Linked DNA regions of Elephas maximus indicus. The protein of the gene in region 1 purifies or fractionates together with the protein of each later gene. This does not show direct contact. Links are inferred from orthologs where the notes say so. Each region holds a gene or a part of one and is shown in the gene's direction. Other genes may lie near its edges.

Region 1 (8,106 bases):
TTGGTATTTTCAATCACCTCATATGCATGTGAAAGCTGGACAATGAATAAGGAAGACCAAAGAAGAACTGACACCTTGAAATTATGGTGCTGGTGAAGAATACTGAAAATACCATGGACTACCAGAAGAATGAATAAATCTGTCTTGGAAGTACAGCCAGAATGCTCCTTAGAAGGAAGAATGGCGAAACTTTGTCTCATGTACTTTTGACATGTCATCAGGAGGAATCAGTCAGTGGAGAAGGACACCATCCTTGATAAAGTACAGGGTCAGGGACAAAGAGGAAGACCCTCAACAAAATGGATTGTCACAGTGGCTTCAACAATAGGCTCAAGCGTAACAATTGTGGCGATGGTGCAGGACCAGGCAGTGTTTCCTTCGGTTGTACATGGGGTTGCTGTGAGCTGGAAGTGATCCAAGACACCTTACAACAACAATAAGAGAGTCTAGAACAGCATCTGGCACATAGTAGAAGTGTCAGATTTAGCAAATAAAAATATAAGATGTCCAACTAAATTTAAATTTCAGATAAACAATGAATACTTTTTAAGTATAAATATGTTGTTGTTGTTGTGTGCCAAAGAGTTGATTCCAACTCATAGCAATCCCATAGGACAGAGTAGAACTGCCTCGTAGAGTTTCCTAGGCAGTAATCTTTATTGGAGCAGATTGCCAGGTCTTGTCTCCTACAGAGTTCCTAGGTGGGTTATAACTGCCAACCATTCATTTAGCAGCCTAGCACTTAATCATTGTGCCACCAGAGCTCCTTAGTATAAATATATCCCATGCAGTATTTCCCCCACTTGTCTGTCAGTTTGTCATACTGTGGGGGCTTGTGTGTTGCTGTGATGCTGGGAAGTATGCCACCGGTATTCAAATACCAGCAGAGCTAACCATGGCAAACAGGTTTTGGCTGAACTTCCACACTAAGACAGACTAGGAAGAAGGACCTGACAGTCTACCTCCGAAAAGATTTAGCCAGTAAAAACCTTATGACTAGCAGTGGAACACTGTCTGATATAGTGCCAGAAGACGAGCCCCTCAGGATGGAAGGTGCTCAAAAGAGGACTGGGGAAGAGCTACCTCCTCAAAGTAGAGTGAACCTTAACGACATGGATGGAGTCAAGCTTTCAGTACCCTCATTTGCTGATATGGCATGACTTAAAATGAGAAGAAACAGCTGCAAACATCCATTAATAATCAGAACGTGGAATGTATGAAGTATGAATCTAGGAAAATTGGAAGTCATCAAAAATGAAATGGAACACATAAACATTGATATACTAGGCTTTAGTGAGCTGAAATGGACTGGTATTGGCCATTTTGAATCCAACAATCATATGGTCTACTATGCTGGGAACCACAACTTGAAGAGGAATGGCGTTGCATTCATTGTCAAAAAGAACAACTCGAGATCTATTCTGAAGTACAATGCTGTCAGTGATAAGATAATATCCATACACCTATAAGGAAGACCAGTTAATAAAACTATTATTCAAATTTACGCACCAACCACTAAGGCTAAATGTGAAGACACTTAAGATTTTTACCAACTTCTGCAGTCTGAAATTGATCAAACATGCAGTCAAGATGCATCAATAATTACTGCATATTGGTATGCAAAATTGGAAACAAAGAAGGATCAGTAGTTGGAAAATATGGTCTTGGTGATAGACACGATGCTAGAGATCCCATTATAGAATTTTGCAAGACCAACGACTTCTTCATTGCAAATACTTTTTTTCACCAACATAAATGGTGACTATACATGTGAACTTTGCCAGATGGGATACACAGGGATCAAATTGACTTCATCTGTCGGAAGAGACAATGGAAAAGCTCAAAATTATCAGTCAGAAAAAGGCCAGGTGCTGACTGGCGGTGGAACAGACCATCAATTGCTCATATAAAGTTCAAGTCGAAACTGAAGAAAATTAGAACAAGTTGATGAAAACCAAAGTATGACCTTGGGTATATCCCACCTGAATCTAGAGACCATCTCAAGAATAGATCTGACACATTGAAAACTAATGACCGAAGACCAGATGAGTTGTGGAACGACATCAAGGACATTACATATGAAGAAAGCGAGAGACTGTCATTAAAAAGACAGGAAAGAAAGAAAAGACCAAAAGGTATGTCAGAAGAGACTCTGAAATCTGCTCTTGAATGCCAAGTAGCTAAAGCAAAAGGAAGAAATGATGAAGTAAAAGAGTTTAAATAAGATTTCGAAGTGCGGCTCGAGAAGACAAAGTATGATAACAACATGTTCAAAGACCTGGAGATGGAAAACAAGAAGAGAAGAACATGCTCTGCATTTCTCAAGCTGAAAGAACTGAATAAAAAATTCAAGCCTTGAATTGAAATATTGAAGGATTCTATGGTGGAAATGGAAGACCTGGTTGTGTAGTGGTTAAGTGCTACGGCTGCTAACCAAAAGGTCGGCAGTTCAAATCCACCAGGCGCTCCTTGGAAACTCTGTGGGGCAGCTCTACTCTGTCCTATAGGGTCACTATGAGTTGGAATCGACTCGACGGCAATGGGTTTGGTTTTTTTTTTTATGATGGGAATATTAAACAACTCAGGAAGCATCAAAAGACGATGGAAGGAATACAGAGTCACTATTCCAAAAAGAATTGGTTGACGTTCAACCATTACAGGAGGTACCATACGAGCAGGAACCAATGGTACTGAAGAAAGAAATCTAAGCTGCACTGAAGGCATTGGTGAAAAACAAGCCTCCAGGAATTGGCAGAATACCAACTGAGATGTTTCAACAAATGGATGCAGTGCTGGAAGTACTCACTTGTCTATGCCAATAAATTTGGAAGACATCTACTGACTGGAAAAGATCTATATTTATGCCTATTCCCAGGAAAGGTGATCCCACTGAATTATCAAACAATATTATTTATATCACACACAAGTAAAATTTTGCTGAAGATCATTCAAAAGCAGCTGGAGCAGTATATTGACAGGGAACTGCCAGAAATTCAAGCTGGATTCAGAAGAGGATGTGAAACCAGGGATATCATTGCTGATCAGGTCAGATGGATCCTGGCTGAAAGCAGAGAATACCAGAAAGATATTTACCTGTGTTTTATTGACTATGCAAAGGCATTTAACTCTGTGGATCATAACAAATTATGGATAACATTGCAGAGAATGGGAATTCCAGAACACTTAATTGTACTTATGAGGAACCTGTACATAGTTCAAGAGGCAGCCGTTTGAATAGAACAAAGAAATACCATGTGGTTTAAAATCAGGAAAGGTGTGCATGAAGGTTGTATCCTGTCACCATACCTCTTCAATCTGTATGCTGAGCAAATAATCTGAAAAGCTGGACTATATGAAGAAGAACGGGGCATCAGGATTAGAGGAAGACTCATTAACAACATGCTGATGCAGATGAACAACCTTGCTTGTTCAAAGTGAAGAGAACTTGAAGTATTTACTGATGAAGATCAAAGACCACAGTCTTCAGTATGGATTACACCTCAACATAAAGAAAGCAAAAATCCTTACAGCTGGACCAATAACCAATATCATGATAAATTGGGAACAGACTGAAGTTGTCGGAGATTTCATTCTACTTGGATCCACAATCAACACCCATGGAAGCAGCAGTCAAGAAGTCAAAGGAAGCACTGCACTGGGCAACTCTGCTGCAAGAGACCTCTTTTAAGTGTTTAAAAACAAAGACGTCAACTTGAAGACTAAGGTGTTGCCTAACCCAAGCCATGGTGTTTTCCATCGCCTCCTGTGCATGTGAAAGCTTGACGATGAATAAAGAAGATCGAAGAAGAACTGACGCCTTTGAATTGTGGTGCTGGAGAAGAATATTGAACATACCATGGACCACCAAAAGAATGAACAGATCTGCCTTGGAGAATGTACAACCAGAATGCTCCTTAGAAGCAAAGATGGCGAGGCTACCTCTTACATACTCTGGACATGTTATCAGGTGGGATCAGTCCCTGCAGGAGGACATCATGCTTGGTAAAATAGAAGGTCCTTGGAAAAGAGGAAGACCCTCAAGGAGATGGACTGACACTGTGGCTCCAACAATGGGCTGAAGCATAACAACGATTGTGAGGATGGGACAGGACCCGGCAGTGTTTCGTTCTGTTGTACACAGGGTCATTATGAGTCAGAACCAACTCCATGGCACCTAACAACAGCAACAACATGAAATATCCGGGACATACTTAAACATCAGATGGGACATACACACAAAAAAGTGGTGTTTATAGTGGTGGAGGACATACTTAAATATCAGATGCGACATATACAAAAAAGTGATGTTTATAGTGGTGGATTATTCAATAGGCAAGGTATGCAGGGTTTCACTGGTAGATGTGGTAGAGTCGGTTTCACTACATGATAAAATTGTTCAGTACAGAGTAGCAAGCATAAGTAAGTTTGTGCTTACTTTGCTTACTGGGTCATTCACTCCTGTCAGGGAGTGTGCATTTGTAAAGAAGCTTTGATTCTGCAGGAAGGTGTTGTGGTGTTGGGAAACAGACAGATGCTAGCCATACCTAGAAGCAGAATCTTTTATGTGGTGAAAACATGTGAGATTTGTTCTCTACTGATGATCTGGTAAGCAAAGTAAGTACCATGCTTACCTTGCCTATCGGATAATCTGCCCTGATGTAACTGGGCATCCTGTATTTTTCTGGCAACCTTACTTCATTGAATCTTTTCCTCTCACCTGTGCAGGGGGGTAATGATAATACCCGCCTCAACAGGATTGATGGGAACGGTAAAGAGACACCTGGCGCGCAGTGAACCCTCAATTCATGACTGCTAGGGGAGCAGCCTGCCGATGGAAAACCCTCACACTTTGAAAAATACTAACAATGAGAAAGTCTTTCCAAGACCAAAAACACCGCTGCCAAGCTTCGGCTGCCCACACCTGCGAGCCCGGCCAGCCTCTTCCGAGTCAGGTGACCGCGCGCTCTCACGTGACCCTGCCCGAGTGAGGGCGGTGGGAGGCGGAAGTGGGAGAGGAGTTGGAAACCGCTTCTGTGGTCACGGCAGGTAGTGAGCGCGGGCGTGGGCAACGCAACCGGCTGGCGGGCGGCGCGGAGCGGGCGGGGGGCGACAAGCGGCACGGGGTGGACCGGGGGCGGCGCGGCTCGGGCGCCGGGGGGCGGTGGCTTCCTGTGGGAGGGGCCTGGCGCGGCGGTTCCGGCCTCCGAGGAGGGGTGTCCCGGCTCCTGCCCGAGTCGGTGGGCGCGCCGCGGGCCGCGCGCGGGGGTTTCTCGGTGGAGGGCGCTAAGGCAGCCAGGGGTGCAGCGGGGAGCAGGTCATTCCGAAAGATGAGGACCTTAGGTGCCCAGGGATGGAAAGGAGTGACCTTTGTGGAGGGATCAGGAGAGGAGGAAGGGGTGCTTTGCAACTGGGCTAGAACAGGGTGCGTGAGAATGACTTGGAGGGAAAGAGGGAGAACTGGATGAAGGTGCTTCCTGAACCCCGTCTGAGAGTCTCTTTCTTTCCTTCCTCTTTGGAAATGTTTGTTACCAGAGACTTTGATTCCGGTTCCGTTCAGTTTATAAACTTAAGGAGGCATCATACAATCTTGATCATTTTGCTGTCCTCACCAGCCCTTTAGTCCTGCTTGGTAGGGTTTCCACGTCTTGGGAACCTAGCCTTTCAGATCATCTTTCTTTGAGATTTTCCCAGATCAGGTCATGGTCAAGGCTTTAAAAAAAAAAAAAAAAAGTATGGGCACTTTGGCGGTAAAATGGCTTTTAGTCTAAACTGTTGACCGCAACCCAGCCCAGCATTATCTCAGCAACATAGTGTCTGCTGAAACCTGGGACGGAGGAGTGTTCACCTGTACTGCTTTATGACTTTTCATTTTTCTTAGGTCTAAATTATTCAGCCTCCCTTACCACGTGAGTCCTTATCTTGACAAACTGTAACTAGGTAGGGGTGACTGAGAGGTCTGTGTTGTGTTTGCGAGAACTCTGGCCTGAATCATGATTTTGAGGTTAAATATCTGCGTTAAAGCTCTTCATCCCTCCTCTTTCTCTTCACGTTTACCGAAATTTGCAAAAGGGAAATGAACTTCATGGTGCAGTGTAACTGCAGGGAATGTTCAAACTGGACCTTCACAGAAACAGGAATCATTTTGGGTTACAAGTTGGGAAAAAAGTACTTACGTTTATGAGTCCAAGTTTTTGGAGTATTTGACGAACATATTTAAATTAATTTTTGTAGCAGTCCTGTGAGTTAGGTTGGAAAGGTGTTATTCCCATTTCACAATGAACACAGGCCTAAGAGAGATGAATTGATTGTTAACAATTTATTGCTCGCTCTTGTTTGCTGTCCCTTTCTCCCTTTTAACCAGTTGTCATTGAGTGGATTAGACTCATGGCCACCCCATGTGTTGCAGAGTAGAACAGCTCTCCACAGTGTTTTTAAGCTGTGACCTTTCTGAAACAGATCACCAGGCTTTTGTTCTGAGATGCCTCTCCATGGGTTCAAACCGCCAACCTTTCAGTTAGTAGTCAAGAGCTTAACCATTTGCTATCCAGGGATTCCTCCTTTCTCCCTACTAGCCTACAGATACCTCAAGGATAGGGTTCATATCTTATTTGGCTTATTTGGCTGCTAGCCTTGGGTCTGGCATGTTGTAGGCACTTGGCAAATGTTTAGAGAATAAATTAATTTCTAGACGTCACACACTGGTAAGTGGCAGACAAGGGATTTGCACTCACATCGTCTATCCTTGCTCTTATCTGATAGGCTTGCTATTTTCTATTATTGATCTATATGAAAATGATAGGCATGGGAGAAAGGCTTCATTTGGCTTCTCAGTCTCTTCCACTACTTTCCCATTTACAAAGAGCTTATACAAACATCTCATTTAATCGTCACCAGGATCCTGTGAAGGTAAATATTGTCCCCGCTTGACAGATGAAGAAGCCGAGACTTAGAGATGTTTTTGCTTTAGGTCCCAGAGCTAGTGAATGACTAAGCAGGGAGTCATGCCCAGGTCATTTTATCCCCAGAGTTGTTCTTTTTCATTTATGAACATAATAAAACATTGTTTGAAAATATTTTTTTCAAGTATAAAAATACGTGGCATTTTAAGGAAAAACACTAATAATAAAGGTCACAGCAAAAATCATGCTTATAGAACGTGAATAATGGAGGTTTAGAAAACCCTGTACTGTGTCATAAAACCAAACCAGACCTGTTGCTGTTGAGTCGATTCCGACTCATAAAACCCAGAAAAACCTTATTCCGACTCAGAGCAACCCTATATATAGGATAGAGTAGAACTGCCCCGTAGGGTTTCCAAGGAGTGAATGGTGAATTTGAACTGCCGACCTTTTGGTTAGCAGCTGAATGCTTAACCACTGCGCCACCAGGGCTCCGTACTATGCCACAGTTGGCTCTTATTTCAGGGAAAATGTTGTTTTCATTCAATGACTATAAGTGCCGACTCTATGCCAGGCATTTCTTTGGAGTTGCGTTGTCCAGTATGGTGGGCACTAGCCATATGTGGCTGTCCAGTGTTTCAGATGTGCTGTAAGTATAAAATTTTGAGTATTTAGTATAAAAAAAATAACACATCTTTTTGGTATTTTTGTATTATTTGCATTACAATATGTATAGTGTAGATGTTAACATTTTGGATTTATTGGGTTAAAGGTAGATCTTAGACAATGAAAAGTTACATTTGTGGCTCCCTTTATATTTCTGTTGGACAGTGTTCTAGACGCAGGGACTACAGCAGTACACAAGAGAGGCAAAAATCCCTGCCCTCGTGGATCTTAAATTTTAGGGGGGAAAGGCAGAAGCAAAACAAAGAAGTAAATATATATTGTGAGAAAGCAGACAAGAGGAATGTGGCGTGTTGGGTGGGGTTGCAGTTTTAAATAGGGCATGTAGAAAAGCCTCCCTGGGAAGGTGATGGCTGAGTAAAGATCTGAAAGTAGTGAGGGAAGGAGTCATGTGGCTAAGTGGACTCATAGTGGTCTAGGCAGAGGGAACAGCAAGTTCAAAAGGCCTAAGAGGGAGCACCCCTAGTACGTTTGTGGACCTTCCAGGAGCCCAGTGTAGCTGGAAGGAAGTGAGGGTGGGGGA
Region 2 (7,721 bases), on another chromosome or scaffold:
TAAGTCAAAATTTTTAAAATTAAGTTGCTATTTTTGATGAACTGTCTTATGTTATTATAGGAAAGTAGTTTATTTTTATGGAGTCTTGGTAGCACAGTGCTTAAGAGCTATCTACGGCTGCTAACCAAAAGATAGGCAGTTCGAATCCACCTACAGCTCCTTGGAAACCATATTGGTTAGTTCTACTCTGTCCCATAGGGTCACTATGAGTCGGAAACTACGACAGTGGTTTTTGTTTTGATTTTAGTTTATTGTTAGAGCGATTATAAAGTCTTACTAAATCTAGTTGAAAAATGGGTTTTGCTCATTGTCTTGATGGCTGTCAAATTTTAGTTGTGTTAAATCGGATTCAAAATAATACCCAGCTTCCCCTCTGAGAGTTGACTGTAATGTTTATATTAAATAGGGTGAGGCCTTAATTCCAAATGCAAAGGAAAACAATAAGTCATTTGTTAAGTACTAGCCTTTTTCTCCTGATTATAACTAATAACTTTCATTGTAGATTTGCGAAGTACAGTGTATAATAAAAGAAAGTAAAAACACTATCCCACTATCCATTAGTAACCATTTAAAACTTTTTGAAATGTTACCTTTCAGAGATTTTTCTAGGCATATATGTATGTTTTTAATGTGAGTAGGGTCCTACAGTATACAAACTTTTATTTTGATGTTTAGAAATTTTGCTTTCATATAATTGAATTGATTTACTCCATTTACTGATAATTGTTAAAATTTCTTCTTTAGAGAAATCATTTTCCTCCACGTCTGGGATGAGAAACAATTAATTTTGTGTTTTGTTTCTTTTTTACATTTAACTCTTAATTCAGTAAAAATTTTGATTAGGTAGGAATCTAAATTAATGAGACCAAAATTAAACACATTTAAAATGAATACATTTTATCTAATCACATACACACACGTAGCATACAATATGCATGCACATATTTTTTTCTATAAGGACTCTAAGGACTGTAAATTTTCCAAGGAAAGGCAAATGTGAGTCCAAGTTTATATATAGTTGGATTGAAATGAGACATTTAAAAACTACAACTACTGTGCTTTTTAAAAAATATATATTCTGAGATCAGTAAATTCCATCTCCCTTCTCCCCCCCCACCCACAAAAAAGCAATTACTAAGAGGTCTTTGGGGGCCTGTCTTACTCTGTTTACTCCAAGCAGAGAAGGAGTAAATACTTTGAAAGCACTATCATTTACTTCAAGTGAGAGGAAAATATCTGCATTGGGAAATATTTTTTATTCTTTAAAGCTGTTATATTTAGAATTTTTCCTTTAATCTGTGTTTAAACCCCAAGCTATGTGCTGTGCTTTTCAACCAACATCAGTTATAAAAGTAGCTAATTCAATTCATTGCTGATTTTGAAATACCTTTTTAAAAATGCTTGATGTGATATTGACAGGAGAGAAAGAACCTGCTGGATTGTTCCTTGAAAATCTTAAAAACTTAGTTCACCAACTATGCTAATGAAGCCTATTTTTAAAATTCTATTGTGTAAGTAGTTACAGGCATATTGGCTTCTCTGAACCAGGTTATTTATAGGTATTATTGGCTTTATATGCAATACTCACCAGTACCTTTGGAATTCTGGTAATAAGAATGTCCTGCTGATCTGTTTAAAAAAAAGGGGGGGGGGTAAATGATATATGATAGACAGCTTTATAGGCAATAAAGAGGTATTTAAAATGAAAAAGGGGCAGTATTCCATATAGCTTTTACTTTCCATGTTTCCAGCAGACATAATGTCTTGTAAAAGTTTTCTTGTAATTCTTGTTAAATTCTGCTAGCGCCAGGCTTTTTGAAAGTGAGTTATCTGTGACTTTTACCATACTAGAAACGATTTACTTTGGTTTTACTCTTACAGCCTCCCACTTCCTACAGTGCGCTCAGTAAAGTAGTATGGGCTCCTGTGCTAATCACGAGGCATTTTCTTGCTCTGTTTTAAGTAATCTGGATACTGAAAAGACTATCCTATGAACACAAAAGAAAATATTCTTTGATGGTTACGAGGGTGGGGAGGGAGGGAGAGGGGTATTCACTAATTAGATAGTAGACAAGAACTATTTTAGGTGAAGGGAAAGACAACACAGTACAGGGGAGATCAGCACAACTGGACTAAACCAAAAGCAAAGAAGTTTCCTGAATATAACCAAACGCCTCCAGACCAGAGTAGCAGGGGGTCTGGGGACCATGGTTTCAGGGGACGTCTAGGTCAGCCGGCATAACAAAATGTATTAAGAAAGTGTTCTGCATCCCACTTTGGTAAGTAAAAACACTCAAACACTAGCAAGCGGCCTTCTAAGATGCATCAATTGGTCTCAACCTACCTGGAGCAAAGGAGAATGAAGAACACCAAAGACACTAGGTAACTGTTAGCCCAAGAGACAGAAAGGGCCACATAAACCAGAGGCTACATCAGCCTGATACCAGAAGAACTAGATGGTACCCAGCTAAAACCGATGACTGCCCTGACAGGGAATACAACCAAGAGTCTCTGAGGGAGCAGGAGAGCAGTAGGATGCAGACGTCAAATTCTCATAAAAAGACGAGACTTAATGGTCTGAGACTGGAGAGACCCCAGAGGTGGTGGCCCCCGGACCTTCTGTTAGCCCAAGGACTGGGACCATTCCCAAGGCCAACTCTTCAGACAGGGATTGGACTGGACTATAAGACAGAAAATGATACTGACGAGGAGTGAACTTCTATGTGGGCAGCTCCTGTCTGGAGGCAAGATGAGAAGGCAGAGGGAGACAAGCTGATTGAATGGACGCTGGGAATACAGGGTGGACAGGAGGAGTGGGCTGTCACATTAGGGGGAGAGCAGCGAGGGTTACATAGCAAGGTGTGTATAGTTTTTGTATGAGAGACTGACTTGATTTGTAAACTTTCACTTAAAGCACAATAAATAAAAGACTATTCTATTCTTTGTTATATGTAATTGAGGTATGCTGGAATTGATAAATAGGTCCAGAATGTCTCTAATTCTGTACAAGTTCTTTTTTTCTTTTCTCAGATTAAGTCAAAACACCCTTCCTTCTCTCTTCCTCTCATTTACTCAATGACCAAGGGTTTATTGATTTCCTGATATATTTAGAATTCAGCAATTTCTCAAGCACTGTGAAGAACCGGAAAGAAACACACGACCCGTCCCAACTTTAAGAAGTCTTCAATCACCACATATTAAAAAAAAAAAAATGGTTGCAGCCGCAGCCATGACCATGGGCTGAATTGGGCAGCGAAAAGCCAATGGCTCTGGCTTTTACGGGAATAATGGTGGGAAGGGATAAGGAGGCATAAAAGCAGAGGCCTCCAGCAGTGACTTAAGCAGCTGTCTTCACCATCCAGGAAACAGTAAAAACATGCCCAAAATGAAATGGGTTAACGAAGAAAGGCACTTCATTGTAAAGAAAATGTCAAGATCAAGGTGCCTCTAATATTAATAGTCATCTGTCTCCCTGGCGATTATGAACTCCGGTTTGACACACACAAGGCTCTGGTTTATTGACTCGGAAGCCCTCGGAATGTGGGGCCGGGCACTTTTTCTCCCTATGCTGCCCTAACCTTTAAATAGAGCGACCTACTGCGGCCCAGCCTGAGGGCAACTTATCCAGCAAGTTTCTCAGCGCCCCCTCGGGGCGGAAAGGTGCACGTGGGCGACTGTCGGAGTCGCCGCCTTCAGTCATTGCAGCAAACCCTCCCTAGAGGCTTCCCTCAGAAGCCCTTCCCCTACACGGTGAACCAGTCAGCCTCCATGTTCCCATCCCGACCCCAACAAACGTTCCCCTTCTCTCACTCCAGTGCACTGGGGACCAGTCCATTCGCGGAGCAGCTCGCTCCCACCCCTCCTCCAGCCGGGAACCCCACAGCCCGGGGCTGTTCGCGGTGCCCTCCAAACCCCAAGGTCCCCGCAGCCTCACCCGCCGCCGCCACCCTCGGTCCAGGCCGCTGCGGGAGGCTCTGCGGAAGAGTTGCACTCGGTCCAGGTGGACACTGGCCCCGGGCCTGGCATCTTGTCTCCGGTGCCCTGAGCGCGAGCCGTGTGCGGGAGCAGCCGTCCCCTCCCTCGCCTCAGCACTCGTGAGTCAGGCCGGGAGATATTGGGGTGAAGAGGCGGACGCCGGAGTCTCGCCCCCTCCGACGCGGTCCGGACACTGCCCGAAGAGCTTCGGGAGAGCGGGGCGGGCTGATCGCGATCCCAGAGCTACGTTGGGGGAGGGGCCGAGGGTTCGCAGTTGATCGCGCCTTGGCACGTTTGCGTTTTTCTGTGCAGGGGATGCGTCACGGGAAGGAACTATACATTCTTCTTAAAACAAGAGGTGCCTTCCACCTCGATATTCCAGACCCTAAGCAAATTTGCAAATCTTGGGTGTCGCCATCTAGACCAAACATTCGTTCGTAAACCAAGAGCCAAAGCATCCGGCGCAAGGATGCTGAGCGTTATCCGTTATCCGTTATCACCTAGGCAACCAGGCTTCGCCTGTACTCAACCGTCGACTTCCGCAACTGCTTCTGCGCACGCGCAAACACCAGGCTCTACTCCACCCCTTCAGGCATTTCTTCAGGACGCGTTTCACACGGGCTTGGCCCGCGAGCCTCTCCGTAGTAAGACGTGTGGCAGAACGGGAAACGCCGGAAGGAACTTGGGTTGTGATTGGTCCGCACGTCGTGTTTCCGGAATTCCGTGGGCGTCGCGCGAAGGCGAAGCGGAGCGTGGTGGTCCCACTCTTGGTGCGGTGTTGCAGACGGTGCTGGGAACCCGAGGGCCGGTATGCCTCGGTATGCGCAACTGGTCATGGGCCCCGCAGGCAGCGGGAAGGTGAGGATTTGAAGGAGAGAAAAGTCGGAGTTCGTGGGGCGCTGGGGGTTCGGGTCCTGAGGTATGGAGAAGCGGGTGTATGTAGTGGGAACCCTGGGTAACTCTCTTCTGCTCTATTTCATTCTTTTGAAAGGGTGGTAGCAACAATTGCTAGTATTTGTCGGATGCTTTCGCCCCCAGATACTGCGCTAAACGCCTCATTGATTTTCCACAACAACTCTTTGAGGCTGGTCGCGTTTTTACTTCACAGAGAAGGAAAAAAAGGTACAGAAGGTTAAGTTCTTTGCCTAAGGTCACTGAGCTAGTAAGTGACGGCTGGAATATGAACCTAGTTTTGTCCAACTCCAGAACCGTAGCAGTGTTTTTCAGAGCTTGGTTGACGCAAGCATAGTTTTGGCCTTAGTGGACACTGCCTCAAGGGGTTGGAGAATTCTTCTAGGGGATAGTGGTGTCCCTGGCCTCTTCTCTCATTCCCCTGGCCTTGTGACATTACAGAGCACCTACTGTGCCACCATGGTCCAGCACTGTGAAGCCCTCAATCGGTCTGTCCAAGTCGTGAACTTAGATCCTGCAGCAGAGCACTTCAACTACTCTGTGATGGCCGGTGAGTCCAGGGAAAATCGGGGAGGTCAGGTAGAGTAGGTGCTCGCTGTTCAGGAGGAAAGTTGAGAAATTAGTTATTACAGTCAGCTCCCTGGTTTCCAAAATATGATTTTAGCACACATGGTGAACTGGAAAGGCAAAATGTTGCTTAGTGACAGCCACTCCTGATGTTGTGTCTTGGTCCTTGAGAAAAGAATTAAAAGTGAGTGAACTCCTTCCGCATCACCCTTCCCTTCTCTCCCTTAAATGCTTAGTCTAGCTGTAGTGAATCTGGTATAGTGCTGATCACACTATAAGTGAGCAGCCTAGGCTTTTGAGGTTTAAAAAAAACTTTTTTTTTTGTTTAATTTATTCATTCAAATGTTTTTTGAATTATTTTATACTAGACACCAGAGTTATAGCAGAGAACAGGACGATACTATCCCTGCCTCATGAACCTTTTCGTGGGGGAGATAGGCAGTAAATGAAGTGATAAACATCTGCACATTTGTATTAAGGACTGCAAACAGGATGATGGCGAATAACTGCAGGAGGCTGCTTTAGGTGGGGTGGGCATGGATGATGTCTCTTGAGGAGGAGATGTTTGAGCAGGCTTTCTGTCTCTCAGTATTTTTATCCCACTGGTAGACCTACTTTTTTGGGGATGCATATGGCCCAACAAGGTTTCCTCAACTTGAGATTCACATCACTCTCTGATCCAAGTGTCTCAGACCCATTAGTGTCCTTGGTTCATCCTTTTAGGAGACCAACTTTATTGTCCCAACTTGGGTCAGTTCTTTATCCCTGGGGGAGGGCCTAGGAAGATGTTATTACAGTAAAACCTGCAAAAGCTGGAACCTGTGTAAGGCCGAAACCTGTCAGAGAAAGAAAACTAAAATATTTTCTCCTAACAGAGAGCAATAGAAAAGTGGTAAGCTGCACCCTGTCAAAGGCAGAAAACTTGAGAGGCCCAGAAAAACAAAGCAGTCCTGTCGAGTTCTGATTCTCACAGGTTTTGCTATAGTATAAAAATGAAGCCCAGTTCTCCATAAGTGGAGATTGTGGGTTTGAGCACAAAGGAAAAACCTGAGGTAGAAAATTATAAGTACTGATTTGTCAAAATTAATAACGGTGAGAGAACCACGTATATACCAGGATTTTTTAAGCTCCTACAAACAGTTTGTAATCGACTACCAACCTAATCGACCCACTGGCAAAGGGTTTGGTTTTTTTTCCTTAATAGGTGGCTTGGGGGCAGTGGTTCCATGGTAGAATTCTCGCCTTCCACGAAAGAGCCCTGAGCTCAGTTCCCAGCCAGGGCACCTCATGCATAGCTGCCACCCGTCTGTTAGTGAGGGCTTTTGTGTTGCTGTGATGCTGAACAGGTTTCAGCAGAGCTTCTAGACTAAGATGGACTAGGAGACAAGCCTGGCAATCTCCTTTCGAAAATCAGGCGGTGAAAACCCTGTGGATGACAATGGTCTGATCCACAACCAGTCATGGGGATGGCCCAGGACCGGGCAGCATTTAGTTCCATTGTGCGTGGGGTCGCCATGTGTTGGGGGCCAACTTGACAATAGCTAACAACAGCTACAAAGATCAGTGGTTTATGTACATTCTCTTAGATAACCCTCATTCTTCCACCTCAGGATACATGATTTTTCTCCCCGATTTTACAAATAAGACAGTGAGGCTCAGGAAGGTTAAGCACTTCTGGTAGGGTCATCATGTTAAAGAATGGTGGTTGGGAAGAAAAATTTTTAATGCCGGCTAAGTTTTTTTGGTTGTTGTTGTTTGGTTTGGTTTTACTTTTTTGGAATAGGTAGTACATATTCACGTGGTTCAAAATGCAAAAGGTACAATAGAATGAGTATATAGGAAAAAGCCTCCCTCCCAGCTCTGTATCCCAGCTCCCCTCCCTTGAGGCAGCCAATATCACCTGTCTCTGGTGTGTCCTTCCACAGATAAGTCTTATGCAATCAAATACATACGTGTGTTATATATATGTAGTGATTTTTCATCTTTTTTTTTTTTAACACCAGTGATGGCGTACTTACAGAATTCTGCACCTTGCTTGAATTTTTCACTTAACGGTATACCTGAGAGATGGTATTTATTAGTATTTCATTCATTTTGTATCGGTGGACACCACGTACATAAGTAATTTCATACGTGTGAGTTTTTTATATAGTAGGTAATTCTTACTAGTAAGGTTAGGAAATTTTCTGTGGAAGTTTTGGTATCCTGGGCCCTGTCGTGCCTTTGCAGACATCCGGGAACTGATCGAGGTCGATGATGTGATGGAG
Region 3 (7,365 bases), on another chromosome or scaffold:
CATGATATCAAGAGATGGGTCCTGAACAGACACTACCTTAACACACTCGCCAAAGTTTACTGATACCTTACTGTGCTCCACAAGACAGACACTGGACATACAATCATAAGCTTCACAAGTACACTCCCTGCTTTCCTGAAAGTTGCACCTAATGGGGAAAATTAACTGTCAAACAAGCAAATATAGTACTTTGACTCCAAGAGATGTCCTAGTAGCTACAAATGTCTAAGTATTATGCATTGTTTTGTAAATAAATAGATGGAAAATATAAATATCTGACCTATACTTCTCCTACTGTATCCAAAGCAGACATTGCTTATTGATTATGTTGCCCTTTCTATTGAGCCCCAACATCCTTTTCAACATTACTAATCAATCTGAGGTCTTGCTTGAAATGAAACACTTAGTATTCCAGCTAAGAGCTATGAATTATCTTGCTGATTCAAAAGGTAGCTGAAGGCTTCTGGGATGGCCAAGTAGAAACTTTTAGATCAAACCTCTTGTAGATACCCAGCCAAAAACCCAGTGCCGTCTAGTTGATTCTGACTTATAGCGACCCTACAGGACAGAGTAGAACTGCCCCATAGAGTTTCCAAAGAGCACCTGGTAGATTCGAACTGCTGACCCTTTGGTTAGCAGCCATAGCACTTAACCACTATGTCACCAGGGTTTCCCCTTTTGTAGGTAACAACTATAAATTCTGGATAAGATACAAAAGCAACTAGCTGAAGGCACCGGAGAGAGAACAAAATCAGACAGAAACTAGGGGAGAGTCAACTCTGCCTAACCTCTGGGTGACTCCTGATCCACGTATGCATGAGGCAGACTCTAAGCAGCCCAGCCAGGGTTAAAAGAACTGACCTGAAGTTTCAGCTGTTGCCATCAAGATAGAATTTTGCAGTCCAGCCACCTTAAAAGCCTGAATAACAAAAATTCAATACTTACCAGAAGAACAAAATACAATCCAAACTTTCTATAACATATCATTGGTAATGACCAGGATATACTTCAAAATTATTTAAAATACAATAAAACAGGAAAGCATGATACATTTTAAAAAAGAAAAGATAATCAATAGAGACCAACTCCAGTGCAGACCTAGATATCAGAATTAAAAAAAAAAAAAAAAAAGATTAGCAGGCAATAATTTTAAAGAAGCTATTATAGCCATGGAGCCCTGGTGGCACAGTGGTTAAGAGCTTGGCTGCTAATGAAAAAGTCAGCAGTTTGAACCCACCGCTCTTTCTTGGAAACCCTATGGTTTCTACTCTGTCCTGTAGGGCCTCCATGAGTCAGAATCAACTTGACAGCAATGGGTTATTATAACTATGCTCAAGTATGTAAGGAATAGGCTCATAATGAATGAAAATATAGAAAACCTTAGCAGAGAAACAGAAACTATAAAAAAGCATCAAATGAAATTTAAGAACTGAAAAATATAGTATCTGAAATTAAAAATCACTAAATGTACTTAATAGCATAAAGGAGATGGAAGAGGAAAGACTCAATGAACCAGAAGTAGATCAACAGAAATGATCCAAACTGAAGAACAGATTTTTTAAAAATTCACAGACTCAGGATCTTTGGGCAATACAAAAAGGTCTAGCATACATGTAATTGGAGTCCCAGAAAGAGAGAGAACTAATGCTTCAGAAAAGTATTTGAATAAATAATGGCTGCTAAGTTCCCAATTGTGTAAGATAAATTTGCATATACCAAAACCTTGACAAACACTAAGGATTAATATAAAAAAACAAAATTAAATAAATAAATAAAAACACCTAGACATATCCTACATAGTCAAACTGCCAAAAATCAAAGACAAAGGCAAAGAAAAAATCTTGGAAGCAGGCAAAGAAAAAAGATACTTTGCAGAGTAGGAACAATGATTTTAAATGCCACTGAAACAATGGAGGCCAGAAACAATGAAGGCCAGAACACAGTGGGTCAACATCTTCAAATGCTTAAAGAAAAAAACCTACCAACCAGAATTTTATATCCAGCAATAACATCCTTGATGAATGAAGATGAAATGAGACACCTTCAGCAGAACTAATTTGTCACGAGTAGACCTGCACTACATGAAAGACTAAAGGACATTCTTCGAAACAAAGGGAAATAAAACTAGATGGCTACTCGGTTATTCAGGAAAGCATAAAACATCTCAGATGGTAAATGGTGTAAATATAAAATACCATTTTCTTCAGCTTAATTTATTTAAACTACGTGATTGTTTAAAGAAAAAACGTGGCATTGTATTGTGGAGTTCAGAGTGTATATAAAGGAAATACCTATTACAGCTACAACATAAAGGAGGAGGTAGAGAGGGTAAATACACCAAACCAGTAGCAAGACTCCTATGTTTTACATGAAGTGGTACAATATTAACTCCCAGGAGTCTGGGAAAAGTAAAGAATATATATTTTAATCCTTAAAGCAACCACTAAAAATATAATGCAAAGATGTGTTGCTAAAAAGCCAATAACCTGATTCCGACTCATAGTGACCCTATAGGGCAGGGTGGAACTGCCCCATAGTATTTCCAAGGAGCACCTGGTGGGTTCAAACTGCTGACCTTTTGGTTAGCAGGTGTAGCACTTAACCACGGCGCCACCAGGGCTCCAAAAAGCGAATAGATAGATTAAAATGGAATTTTAAAATATGAATGCAAAAGAAAGCAAAAGGAGGAGCAGAGGAATAAAAAAAAAAAGGGGGGGAACAAAAAGAAAACAAATAGTAAAATGGCATACCTGGAAGTGGAGTGGGCTGTCTGAGGTCATTCACCCCTTAACTATCTACTGAGTGCCTACTGAACGCCAGCCTCTGTGCTAGGCTTTGACAATACTATGGTGAATGAAACAAAAATGATTCCTGCCTTCATCAGTCCTACCAGTGTCCAAACTCTGTTCCTCTTCTCCTCTTCTACTTCTATCATTATTTACACCCTGGACAGAAGACTAGCAAATTCTTTTTATAAGCCAGTCTGAAATGTCTTAAATTTCCAAGTTCAAAAACCAAACCTTTTCTAATGTTGGGCCTGAATACCTCTATCTGAACAGAAAAGGGTTTCTTCTTCTTTTAGCCTCTCTGGAGTGAAATGTGACACAAGAAAATCTGTCAAACCTCAGAACAGCTCAGCAAGAACCTGGACACATGCCTAGTGACCCAGAGTTACCTTACCCTCTCCTGAAGTAGAGTTGAGGAAGAAAGGGCAGTCAGCTGCCAAGCTGTCCACCCCACTTCTAACAGAGCTCACATCCATTGCCATTCCTTGTCCTGGCATCCCAGCCAGAAGTCCTGCCTGAAGTTTTTGCCCAAGAACCTGGCACCAAATGGGAGGTGCCTAGCACTGAAGTAACCGAGAATCTCTTGTTACAAGTCCAATTGCTCCAGCCTGACCCTCAACATACAAAAAAGCAATCCAGGCTTGGTTGACTAGTACTACAAGCTCATTGGCATCGAGTTGATTGCAACTCATAGCGACCCTATAGGACAGGGCAGAACTGCCCTATAGGGTTTCCAAGGCTGTGATCTTTACAGAAGCAGACTGCCACAGTTTTCTCCCTCAGAGCCGCTGATGGGTTTGAACTGCTGACCTTTCAGTTAGCAGCCGAGTGCTTAACCACTATACGACCTGAGCACCTTAGTACTTCATCAACAAAATGAAAATAACAAAATTTGGTTAGAATGGCTGCCACACTTCTTTTTTTCCATACAGTCGCTTGCCCCTCTGCACTAGCTTTCGCTTCAGCTTTGTATATGTGTACTTACAAATCCACCAGCTCTGAAAACCTCTTAGCAAGGTGATAATTTCCAGCTCCCTTATTGCCCTATCTGGGTTATTGCCCTTCCTCCAGACTGAAATGTCTTTGTTTCTCTCTCCCACCCCCTGCCCTCTGAGAATTTCTACCTCTCAGAAGTTTAAACCTGTTTTCCTTCCCTAGAGTACCGTTTTTTTTCAGACAGCTGAATTCTTAGAGATAATGATAAGACTCAGGGAAATAAGTGCATGGTTTCCTCCTCCCTGGCGCCGGTTAAGGCGATTGGTGCTTCGGGACGTTCTGAAGCTCTTTGAAAACAACAGGCTAGTCAGATTCCAAAGATTTACCTTCTGAAGGCTCAGCATGTCTGGGCAATGGTTGCATAATTTGGATGGAGTCATCACTGGATGGAGCAGAGTTGGCTCAGGCGGGGAGTACTCGTTGCTCTTTTTAAACTCCATGGCACCAGGGATGAAGTCACCTTTCTTCTTTTAAAACCAACTGACTTGCCCCGTGAGTCCCTGTCAATTCTGTTAGAACTTGGTGCTTTCTCCACTGCTGCACACCTAGGACCTCCTCTCAGGTAAGAAAACTCTTCTTTAGTGGGTTTCTATTAAAAAAAAAAAAAAAAAAAAATCCAGGGAAGGGGGATTTGAGGGGAACTTTGGAGGGCATTTGTTTGTAGAGGTGGGGTTAAGGTTGAAGGACACTCGATGAAATGAAAAGAATGGCTGCTTTCCAGGCAGCTGGTCTCCACCTGGTGGGTGGGGCAGCCCTGGGCTGGGTAAGCAGAAACCCCACTCAGCCCTGAGCTGAGACGGTGGACTCTCAGAGTGGTCAAGGACATCTAATCCAGGTTTGGTTTCTCTTAGTTGTTTAATGAACTGAGCACGTTGGTGAAGCAGCTGCAAGTGGTCTTCTTTGGGCTGGGGCCATTTGTACCCTCTTTTGCTTTCCTAATGTTTGGCTTTGTGTTTTGGATAGAATAACCCTCAGAAGGTTCTGATAACAGTTGATGTGCAGAAAAGCAGCGGCTCTCTGAAGAGCCCTCATTTGCTCATTAGCTGGCTTGAATGCTTCCCTTCTTCCTCAAGAGGGTAGGGGAGACAAAGGAGCCCTGGCTTCCTGTCCTGACATGCAAGTACCTTGTGTAAACAATGGCTGTGTGGCTGCAGGTGAGGCAGAAATGTACAAAAACATCTTAGTGCCTGCCCATATGAGTTCTTCTAAGAAAACGGACGTGAAATCTTGTTTTATGTGTGCACAGTCCACTGAAATCTCCCTCTGCTTTCTCTGAGTTATACAAGTCACTGTCACTGACTGAATCGTAGAGTCTTACTTTAGCTTTCAAATGCTCAGTAGAGACATTTTGGTTATGACACAGGCGCCTGCAGGGTGATGAATGGCAATTGGAGAGAGCTGAGCCCCTACGAAGTAGAAACATTTGAGAGTTGCAGATCCCCTTCCTTGATTGACACAGAGCCCTGCCACAAATAGCATTGGCTGCAGTCATCTATAACCTATGAAGGGAGCAAAGGATCTCATTTAGATAAAAGATGCTTTGTTTTCAAAAGGAGGGTGAGAATGGTTATACAACTTGAAGAATGTAATTAATGTCTGAATTCTACATGAAGAAATTACTGAATTGGTATATGTTTAGCTGTACATATTTCCAATAACTATCAGAAATAAAAATTAAAAAAAAAAAAAGATGTTTGGTTTTAAATGCAGTTGCATACTGGCTACCAGTTCTTGGTTACTCATTGACCTCAAACTCAATCATGCTCAAAATCCATACTCACCTGAAATCAGCTCCCCTTCTATGCTCCTAGCTCAGTGAAAAGCACCTGGTTGTCTGTGACAGATTTCTGGACTTCTCCTTTGACCCTTCCCTCTTCCTCACATTCCACATCTGGTTTGGCAAGTATCCAGCAGGTTCCAACTTAATATCTCTCAACTGCACCCAGCTCTCTCCACCTCCTTGGCCATTATCCTTGTTTAAGACCTTATCATCTTCTACCAGGAACACTGAAAGCTTTCATCTAGGCTTCGTCTCTCCAGTCTTACCTTCCTGGCAGCAATCAGAGTGATGGTTCCAAGATGATTGGTCAGCACCTGCACAATCCAATCAATCACTAATCTGTCGATTCTGTCTTCTTACTATGCCTCAACATTTCTGACATCTCTCTGTTCTACCTCTATTACCTTGGCTCAGCCCACAAGCACCCTTTGCCTGAGTTATTGCAGTTGCCTCCTAGCTGGTCTTCCTGCCACCAGGATCGTGCTCATCCTAGTATAAGACATCTTAAGCTTCTTGTCTTCCCAGGCTTCTGAGGGCATTTTTACAAGAACTTGGAACATGGGTTTTTGGAAGCATTTTCATTTTTATGACTCTTGTGGATTCTTCAAGGAAGTGGGGAGAGAAAAGGGGAGGAGTTAGGGGATATGTATTGCAGTGGGAAGAAAGCACGGAGAATGCAAGAAGCTCCCTTGGAGCCACACACGTTTGCATTTGAATCATAGCTGCTCCACTTCCTACTGTGGCTTTGGCCAAGTTTGTGAACCTTCTTGAGACTCATTTCCTCAACTATGAAATGGAAATAATAATACCTACTTTTTTTTTTACTTCACTGAGTAAATATAAGGGTTAATTGAACAATTATGGAAGACTCTGAACCAAGCAATTAAGAAGTTTTGGTTTCTTTTTTTCTTTCTTTCCCTTTTAAAGCTTATAATTTCTAATCACAATGTCTTGAAAGTATTTTTACATATGTGTGTGTATAATGATCTGTATTTAACATGGTGGAAAGAAGGCATGGCAAAGAAATATACGAGAACTCGCTTAAGGAACTCACCATCTACTTAAAGAGATAAATCAAACCTAAACAGCCCAAAAGCATCAATAAAACAAGCAATCTGTGATTGCCATGTATACGTTCCCAACTGAGTACATAAGCAGGAAAGGCCTGAGTAAGCAGGCATGTGAATACCTGCAGAGTGTAAATAATGCTATATCAAGCAAATTTATATTTAGGCTTCTTGGGGATTTAAAAATCCTTGGTCTCTCTGATGTTCCCAGTTTAGAGTGATTCTAGAACGTATAGATGTATGTTTAAAAGTGACCTTATTCATTCAGCAAGCATTTGTTGAGTACCTGCTCTGTGCTGGGTCTTAAAATATACACTTCTTTGTTACTCCTCCCATGGAGAGGTGAACCTGAGCTAACTTTAGGGACTTGCATGCAATGGAATGAGAAGGAAGTGATGTTTTGGGACATCCAAAGCTGGGTTCTAAGAAGTTTTGCAGCTTCCTCGTCGATTTCTTGTTTCACTCACTCTGGGGAAAGTCAACCACCATGTAAACTGGCTCTCTGGGAATAAAAAAGAGAGAGAGTGCTGAAGTATAGTGTTTGCCAATTTCCATAGTGTAAATAATCCCATCTCGGCCAGTTGCAAGCTATACCGAATGCAGAGTTGAGAAGAGGTATGCAATCAGTTCTTAAAAGGGCCACAAGCTGGTCCCAGAGCACCACTGCCAATTTTTCTGAAACTACCATGTTGAGAGACAGCCCAAGCTAGCTATGTGAAGAAAGTCCGTGGAGAAA
Region 4 (7,735 bases), on another chromosome or scaffold:
GCCTTGGTCCCAGCTGGAATGGTATATAAGCGTGGGTCCCTTGCTAGGTGGTTGCGGAAAATACTCCAGCCGGCCGCCACTGGAGAAAGCAGCTGCTTGCTCGTGTAAGTAAGTTTCCCTGAATAACCGTCTGAATCTGGAAAGGGCTATGTGTCAGTTCTTCGGATTATCTGCCAGGACGCACAGCGAGGGTCTTTCCTTGCTGGGGCTGTCCCCCGACAGATGGGCATATGGGGTGGGAAGTTGAAAGGGGTGGAAGAGATTAGAGTGTAGAGAGGAGAAGGGGAAGAATTGAAAGGTATTAAAAACAAAACAAAACCTGTTGCTGTTGAATTAGCTCTCACTTATGGAGACCCCATGTGTTTTAGAGTAGAATTACACTTCATAATGTTTTCAATGGCTGTGATCTTTCAGAAGTTAATCACTAGGCCTTTCTTTCAAGTCACCTCTGGGTAGATTTTCCAACTGCCAACTTTCATTTAGTAGCCAAGTGCTTAACCATTTGTGGCAACTGGAAACTGAAAGGTATTTAGGCTCTAGGATTTAGTGACTTGTTGGGTTGAGGGAAAAAGAACAGCCCAGCATGAATGTGTAACTTCCAGGTTGGGCGACTAGGAATGAAAACAGGAAGAGTGGGTTGGGGAGGGAAATATAAATGAGTACAATTTGGGGCATGTTCAACCTGAGAAGCCTTTGAGATACTGGATAGTAAGGGCCTACTCAGTATAATTCTAGCCCCAGGACAAAGAGCCAAAAGACTCCTTTGCTGAAAAGCCTGGAGAGTTGGTGCCATGGACTTTAAGGTAGGAGAGAGTTTTAGGAAGGAGAAAGTTGTCAACATAGTCAGGTGCAGGAAGGAAGATAAAGACTAAAACCTGTTCCTTGGATTTGAGGCCCTGGAGGAGATTGATGGCTCTGGCAAGAGCGGTGAAGTGGAGTCAAAGAGAGTAGACAATTCTTTTGGAATCTGCTCTCTGAAAATGGAAGAGAGGGTGGAAGCTAGAGGGGGATGTTTAACAGCTTTTTGGAGTTTAACTGACACATTCTTCACTGTACATAGTTAAAGTGTATAACTTGATAAGTCGATTCATTTGACTTATCAAATATATACCCATATAACCATCATCACAATCAAGATAATGAGAACATCCATCCTGCCCAAAAGTTTCCTCCTGTCCTCTTGGACTCCCTCCCCCAACTTCTCCCTGCCACCCCACATCCTGAGGTGATCACCAATCTGCTTTCTGTCACTGTAGATTAGTATTCATTTTAAATAATTTTATATAAATGGAACCATACAGTATACACTCATATTTTTCTGACTTATTTCACTCAATATAATTATTTTGAGATTCATCAAAGTTGGTGCATGTGCCATAGTTTTCCATTGTATGGATAGACCGAAATTGGTTTATCCATTCGCCAGCTGATAGACATTTGGGTTGTTTATATTTTTTGGATATTCCAAATATAGCTACTATGAACATTTATGTACAAGTCTTGGTGTGGACATATGCTTTCATTTCTCCTGGATAAATACCTAGCAAATGAGTGACTGGGTCATATGGTAGATGTTAAGTTTAACTTTTTAAGAAACTGCCAAACTGTTTTCCAAAGTGGTTGCACCATTTTATAGTTCCACCAGCAACGTATAAGAGTTTCAGTTGCTTCACAGCCTTGCCAACACCTGACATCATCAGTCTTTCTGATAAGTGTACAGTAGTATCTCATTGTATTTTTTATGCATATTTTCCTAATGGTTAGTAATGTGGAACACATTATTGTGCTTATTTTTCATCTGAACATTTTCTTTGGTGAAATGTCTGTTCAAATCTTTTATAACCTAATGTTGGAAGTGATATCCCATGACTTCTGCTGTATTCTATTTGTTAGAAGAGAGTAAGGGCAGCCCACACTCAATGGGAAGGGATTACATAAAGGTGGAATCATTGGGAACCATCCTAGAGGCTGCCTACCACAAATGGCTTAGAATAAAATCCCAACTCCATATCTTGATCGACAAAGCCCCATGGGATCTAGCTCCAGCCTTCCACACTGGCCTTCTTTTTCTGCTTTGAGCCAAGATTTATAATTGGCGAGGGGAGAAGGGATAGCCTTCTACAAGGGGAAACTGGCAGGGGACAAAATTCTGTGGCCTGAAAGAAAGGCATCCTTGCCATGGAAACGGTAGCCCAGGATCAGAGTATGGGGGTTCTCTACTGTGGCGGGGGGGGGGGGGGGCAGGGGCAGGGAAAAGACCTCCAGCTGCAACCTAGAGGAGGGATGAGGGAGGCCTTAGAGGAACTTGCCGAGTGACTAGGACCTCATTTGGGGACTTTAATCTGAGTTATTTCTTATTTAGCCACAGCTGGAGCCCTGGTGGCGCAGTGGCTGAGAGCTTGGCTGCTAACCAAAAGGTTGACAGTTCAAATCCACCAGTTGCACCTTGGAAACCCTAAGGGGCAGTTCTACCCTGACCTTTTAGGGTCACTGTAAGTTAACATCAACTCGATGGCAACGGGTTAGGTTTTTTTTTTTTTTTTTTTTTGGAGCGGGTTACTGAAGTTCTTGAAAGCAGGCAATTTCTTTTGATATATTAGTTAATCTGATCAGATGGACTAGATTGGGGTAGATACAGAAAAGTCTGCAACTACACTCCTGGGAGTAGCTCCAGATTTTATCTAGAGTGTTTGTCGGTCTGGTTGGTGGGGAGCTGCTTTGTGTTTATATAGCAACTTACACAATTTTTTTTCCTTTTTATCATTTATATTTGGTTTTTATTAGTTTTTTTTTTTAGTTTTGTTGTGGCTTTAGGTGGAAGTTTACAGCTCAAGTTTGTTTCTCATTCAAAAATTTATACACATATTCTTTTGTGACATTGGATGCAATCCCTGCAATGGTGCCTGACATGGTTTTGAGAAAGCTTCAATTTTCCGTATCAAAGAACAGGAAGAGTGCTGGAGCCCATGGGCATGTTCAAGCCTCCAAAGCCACATCTCCTATGAGGCTTGCAAGCTTCTTACACTTTCTTTCAGGAGACAGCTCTACGAGCTGAACTCTAAAGAGAAAGTGGGAGCTGGGTGTGATGCCTTTTACATTGCCTTCCTCTTCAAACAAACAAAACGATTTTGTTTTGTTTTGTTTTGTTTACCAATTTTATACATTTGGAAATAGGCCTGAAACGAAGAAAAGCATTTCTGAGTTGCATGTTGGAAAGAGCAGCTGAGCATTTGGGTTTGAAATCTGAGGCTATCACTTACTGGTTCTGTGCCCCGGGAATATTCACATCAGGTTTTGTACCTCTGTATTTCCATCAGCAAAATAGTAAGTTGTGAAAGAGAGATTCTCAGCCAGCTGTACACCTCCTACTGACATCCTCAACTCTTGTGAACCTTTGGGAATGGTGGGGTGTTTTGGGTTGTTATGATGACTTGCAAGTGTCATGGCAACTAGTCAGCAGAAGCCAGACACCAAATGGCCTAGAGCAATAACTGGGGAACCTTTCAACTTTAACGTTAACATCTAGGACCTCGCTAAGCCTTAGGGTAGGAGGAATCACACCGTAGGCCAAAAAACCAAACAGGCTGCTGTTGACTCATGATGATCCCAGGTGTTACAGAGTAGAACTCTTCCACAGGGTAATGGAAAGGAGTCCTAGTTGTGCAACGGTTAAGTGCCTGGGTGCTAACTGAAAGGTCAGCAGTTTGCCCTCCTTGGGAGAAAAGGCCTGGTGGTCTGCTCTGTAAAGATTACAGCTTAAGAAACTGTCCTATGGGACAGTTTTACTGTGTCATATAGGATTGCTACGAATCCCAATCACCTCGATGGCACAAAGCGGACTGCCAGGCCTTTCCTCCGTGGTGCCGCTGAGTGCGTTCAAACCAACAACCTTTAGTAGTCCAGCGCAAACGGTCTGCGCCACCCAGCAGTAATGACTGTCTTATGTGTTTCATTTCTCCAGGTTTGAACATAAATTTCATTGCTCAGGGATACCTTCTCTAAGTCCATCCCAATCTCGCTGTCATACTGTGTTACTATTTGGTTTTCTGCCCCCCTCCACGATGCTGTAAATTCCATAAGCGCAGGGGCTTCTCCTGTGAGGCTTGCAGGCTTCTACTTTCGGTGGCGATTTGTTCATTAACATACGCTGGGTAGTGACGTCACGGCGGCACTCAACTACTTTCCGAAGAAATAGATTAAAAAATACGACTAGACGACCCTAAAGAACCTAGAACCTAGCGCCGTCGAATCAATCCCGAAAAACAGGCGCGAAAAAAAGCCCTTCCGGCCGCTGAAGTTAGCCCCGTCACTTCCGCCCTCTCCCGCTCCTCCCGGCGGCCCCTTCGCTCGGTCTGTGTTTGTTTCCGCTGTGTCAATAAAGTTCGATTCGCCTCGAAGAAGCCCCGTTCTTCCGGGAAAATGGCGTCCCCCGCTCGCGCCCCAGAGTCGTCGCCGCCTGCGGATCCGGCGCTAGCGGCGGGGGCTGCCGAGGGAGCCGAGTGCCCGCCGCCTCGCCAGCCGCAGCCCCCGTACAATGTCCTCGCTGGCCCGCGGCTTCGAGCCCCTAGCTCCCGAGGACTGGGGGCGGCGGAGTTTGGCGGAGCTGCGGGAGATGTTGAAGCGCCAGGAGAGACTTTTGCGCAACGAGTAAGCTTGGGTCCCGCCGAACCAACTCCGGGATCCCGCGGTTCGGGCCCCCCGGGAAGCTCCCCTCCCTTTCCTCTCATCCGTTCCTTCTCTGAAGGTGACCTTGCCGAGCCGGCTTCGTGTCAGCCCCGCGGCGATGGACGGCCTGTGGCTGGCCGTCGCGGGGTCTCGATGGTGCTCGCCTGCTGGCCCGCCGTAGCCACTGGGCTGCTCTGGGACGCTCAGCCGGTTGAATTTCCTTAGCTACTGTGGCGGTTCCACGAAGGGTGTGTGCCACAGCCCCATTTATATGCCCCCCTCCCGCATACAGTGCCAAATACGGTGACGGCTCAGCACCATGTCAGTTTCCCTGGCAGACCCTGTTCTTGTGGGAACCGTAGGAAATGGGAAGAGTCGGATATAAAGAGTGGTTTATTAGGCCGAGGAAGTTTGACTCACGTTCGGATTTAACGGGTTTTAGTAGAGGGGTGATATAATAAAAATTAAAAGTGACTTTTTTTTAGGAGTTTAATTTAGTAGCAGGAGGGTTTGAAGGAGTCTGAGGCAGAAGACAGGATATTTTTAGGTGGGTTTCCAACAAGGGGTCGTAAGAACGTGAACTAGGAAGGTGGCTGCGGAGTAATTTGAATAAGTAGTTGACAGAGGTGATTGAAGTTCCCAGCCTGCTGCGAGAGCCATTAACAAAACTAGGGGAATTGGGGAGGGAAATAGGCTCGAGGTTGAATTGGGGCAGGGGAATAGGCCAGAGATTGACTTTTGCTAAGTTTAGGATATGGCAGGATAGACATCGGGCTAATTATGACTACTTAAAAGCTAGAGAAGTGGTTGTTAAACTTAGGGAAGAGAAGGCTGGAAAAAATACAGGAATCTCAACTGCAGAGAGGAGCTCTGGTGGCACAATAGTTAAGAGCTTGGCAGCTGACCAGAAGGTCACTAGCTCCAGTCCACCAGCCACTCCTTGGAAATGCCATGGGGCAGTTTTACTATGCACTAATAGGGGCACCATGGACGCGGACACATAGCAGCTACCACAGAGCTGCAGAGAGGTGCTAATGGTTGACACTATGGGAATGATTGTGTGTCAGAGAAAGACTAGAGGGCCTAAGATGTAATTTTGGTGAGCTTTCTGTCCCCGTTTATTGTGTGGCTATAGAAAAAGAAATCTGAAAAGGGAATTCTGCTACCCAGCAGAGGGGGCAAATAGTTACTTGGGTGTCTTGACTTGGCGAGGTTGGAATTTTATCTGTAGCAGCAAATTGTCTCAACTTTTTGGTCTCAGGGCCCCTTTATACACTTAAAATTATTGAGGATCCAGAAACGCTTTTGTTTATGAGGGTTATGTCGATAAGTATTTATTGATTTATTAGAAATTGCAACTGAGAAATCTTTAAAAACAAGGATATGTAAGCACACATTCCATTGAGCCTCCAGAGCAGTGGTGCCCTACATCAGGGTATCCTCTGGGAAACTCCACTGTACCCATGTGAGAAAAAGTGCGTGAGAAAGGCAGTACTATCTGAGTACTCTTATGAAAGTAGTTTTGACCTCGCAGACCTTTCCCCTTTCTCCCCAAGAGGCTCTTGAGGACCATACTTACAAAACTGTTGATCTGTTGGGACGTCATGTATGATTATTACATGCTTAAATGTGTTTACTAAGTTCTCATTGGATGAGACAAATGAGGCATATTCCTTGTTCTTGTACTGCCTTGATTATTGGGGTGTTTGGATAATGATTACCTTAATTGGTTTCATTCCCGTTTCCGGGCAGTTGAAAATCAGATTTTGATTTAAAAACCAGCTTTTCTCCCTTTGAGGATAATGCTTTGTCGTTTTAATTTTCTCTGAAGTTTGAAAACATGGCTCTAATGTATGCATGTTCTTTTCCATTTGACAGAAAATTCATTTGCAAATTGCCCGACAAAGGTAAAAAGATCTTAGACTCTGTTGCCAAACTGAAAGTGGCCGTTGCAGAACGTGAAGAGTTCAGAGGAAAAAGTCAACTCTTTCATCCTGTTAGGTTAGACTGTACAGTAAGGCAAACAGTGACCGCAGGAGTTGATGTGGACACAGCTAAGGCTCAGAATTCTGACCAGATACTTCATACTTCACCACCAGTTCCTGGCTCCTCCTCTGTAGATAACAGCAAGTCATCTAAAACAGCTTCACCAAAGCAGGGACTTGTACATCTCTTTCACAAAGGCAGTGAAGAGACTGCAGAAGCAGAGGGCATAGTGAACGGGCGCACAGCTCCTAGCAGCGGAGCCAGTGCCGCTTCCTTATCTGAAGCCAGCAAGTGTCTCCCACAGCATCTTGTTTCAAGACAAGCAGAAGATAGTTCCAGCAGCTCCGACAACCTGATTGTTGATAGGTTACAAAGGATCACAATCGCAGACCCAGGGGAGCACCGCTCAAGGGAAAACACAAGTACCGATAACTTGACAGGCCCTCGTAGTGGGGCCCAGAAGAAGCCACATTACATGGAAGTGCTAGAAGTGCGAGCCCAAAACCCAGTGCCCCCACCACATAAATTTAAAACAAATGTGTAAGTACCACTGGAATGGGTCTATCACAGAGCATTTGTTAAAGAACATAGTGTTAGTTAAGACTAAAAAAAAAAAAAAAAAAAAATTCCATGGGCTTTGTGTGAGAGCTGCTTGTACTTAGGAATAAACGTGTTTGGAAAACAACAGCCTGGCTGGAGTGGAGGAATCATGTTAAAAAACACTTAAGTGCTTTAGCCAAATAATTGAAAAGGTTTTAAATGACAGATGGGGGAATATTCAATTTCAGGATACTTAATCAGTATTTAACAGTAAAACAGAAATTTAGAGAGGAAATTTATGCTTTTTTTCCTAGAACCATCTTGCATTACAGAGCTCCACCTTTGATTAGCCTGTAAGCTAAGGAAAAGTAGTTAGAGAGCCACTAGGGACGTTGCTCAGCAAAAAGCATCTGAGTGCTTACTGGATGTAAGCAGCAGATGCCGTGGTGACACAAAGAAGTGAAACTTTTCATCTTCAAAGAGTTAAGGATCCAGAGAGAATCCAGGGCTTCTGTACTCGGGGAAATTTTAAGCTAAATAACAG

What was found.
Region 2: the proteins of WWP2 (region 1) and GPN3 purify together in Homo sapiens (affinity purification with mass spectrometry; 3 studies listed by BioGRID and IntAct, with this or other methods). This does not show direct contact. The link is inferred for Elephas maximus indicus from reciprocal best matches to the Homo sapiens genes WWP2 and GPN3.
Region 3: the proteins of WWP2 (region 1) and AMOTL1 purify together in Homo sapiens (affinity purification with mass spectrometry; 3 studies listed by BioGRID and IntAct, counting the BioPlex papers as one, with this or other methods). This does not show direct contact. The link is inferred for Elephas maximus indicus from reciprocal best matches to the Homo sapiens genes WWP2 and AMOTL1.
Region 4: the proteins of WWP2 (region 1) and POLR2M purify together in Homo sapiens (affinity purification with mass spectrometry, with the first as the bait; 3 studies listed by BioGRID). This does not show direct contact. The link is inferred for Elephas maximus indicus from reciprocal best matches to the Homo sapiens genes WWP2 and POLR2M.

What each region holds. Positions count from the first base shown.
Region 1 is NC_064839.1:36,065,071-36,073,176, forward strand, and holds the start of WWP2 (NEDD4-like E3 ubiquitin-protein ligase WWP2), read left to right. Parts: upstream 1-4,969; 5' UTR 4,970-5,046; intron 5,047-8,106. UniProt on the Homo sapiens protein: E3 ubiquitin-protein ligase which accepts ubiquitin from an E2 ubiquitin-conjugating enzyme in the form of a thioester and then directly transfers the ubiquitin to targeted substrates.
Region 2 is NC_064840.1:9,049,685-9,057,405, reverse strand, and holds the start of GPN3 (GPN-loop GTPase 3), read left to right. Parts: upstream 1-4,623; 5' UTR 4,624-4,785; coding exon 4,786-4,833; intron 4,834-5,328; coding exon 5,329-5,437; intron 5,438-7,683; coding exon 7,684-7,721. Other genes in the region: protein FAM216A, read right to left, coding at 1,589-1,629, 3,935-4,026. UniProt on the Homo sapiens protein: Small GTPase required for proper localization of RNA polymerase II (RNAPII). May act at an RNAP assembly step prior to nuclear import.
Region 3 is NC_064825.1:26,223,854-26,231,218, reverse strand, and holds the start of AMOTL1 (angiomotin-like protein 1), read left to right. Parts: upstream 1-4,260; 5' UTR 4,261-4,344; intron 4,345-7,365. UniProt on the Homo sapiens protein: Inhibits the Wnt/beta-catenin signaling pathway, probably by recruiting CTNNB1 to recycling endosomes and hence preventing its translocation to the nucleus.
Region 4 is NC_064831.1:47,823,817-47,831,551, forward strand, and holds the start of POLR2M (protein GRINL1A), read left to right. Parts: upstream 1-4,389; 5' UTR 4,390-4,534; coding exon 4,535-4,647; intron 4,648-6,543; coding exon 6,544-7,191; intron 7,192-7,735.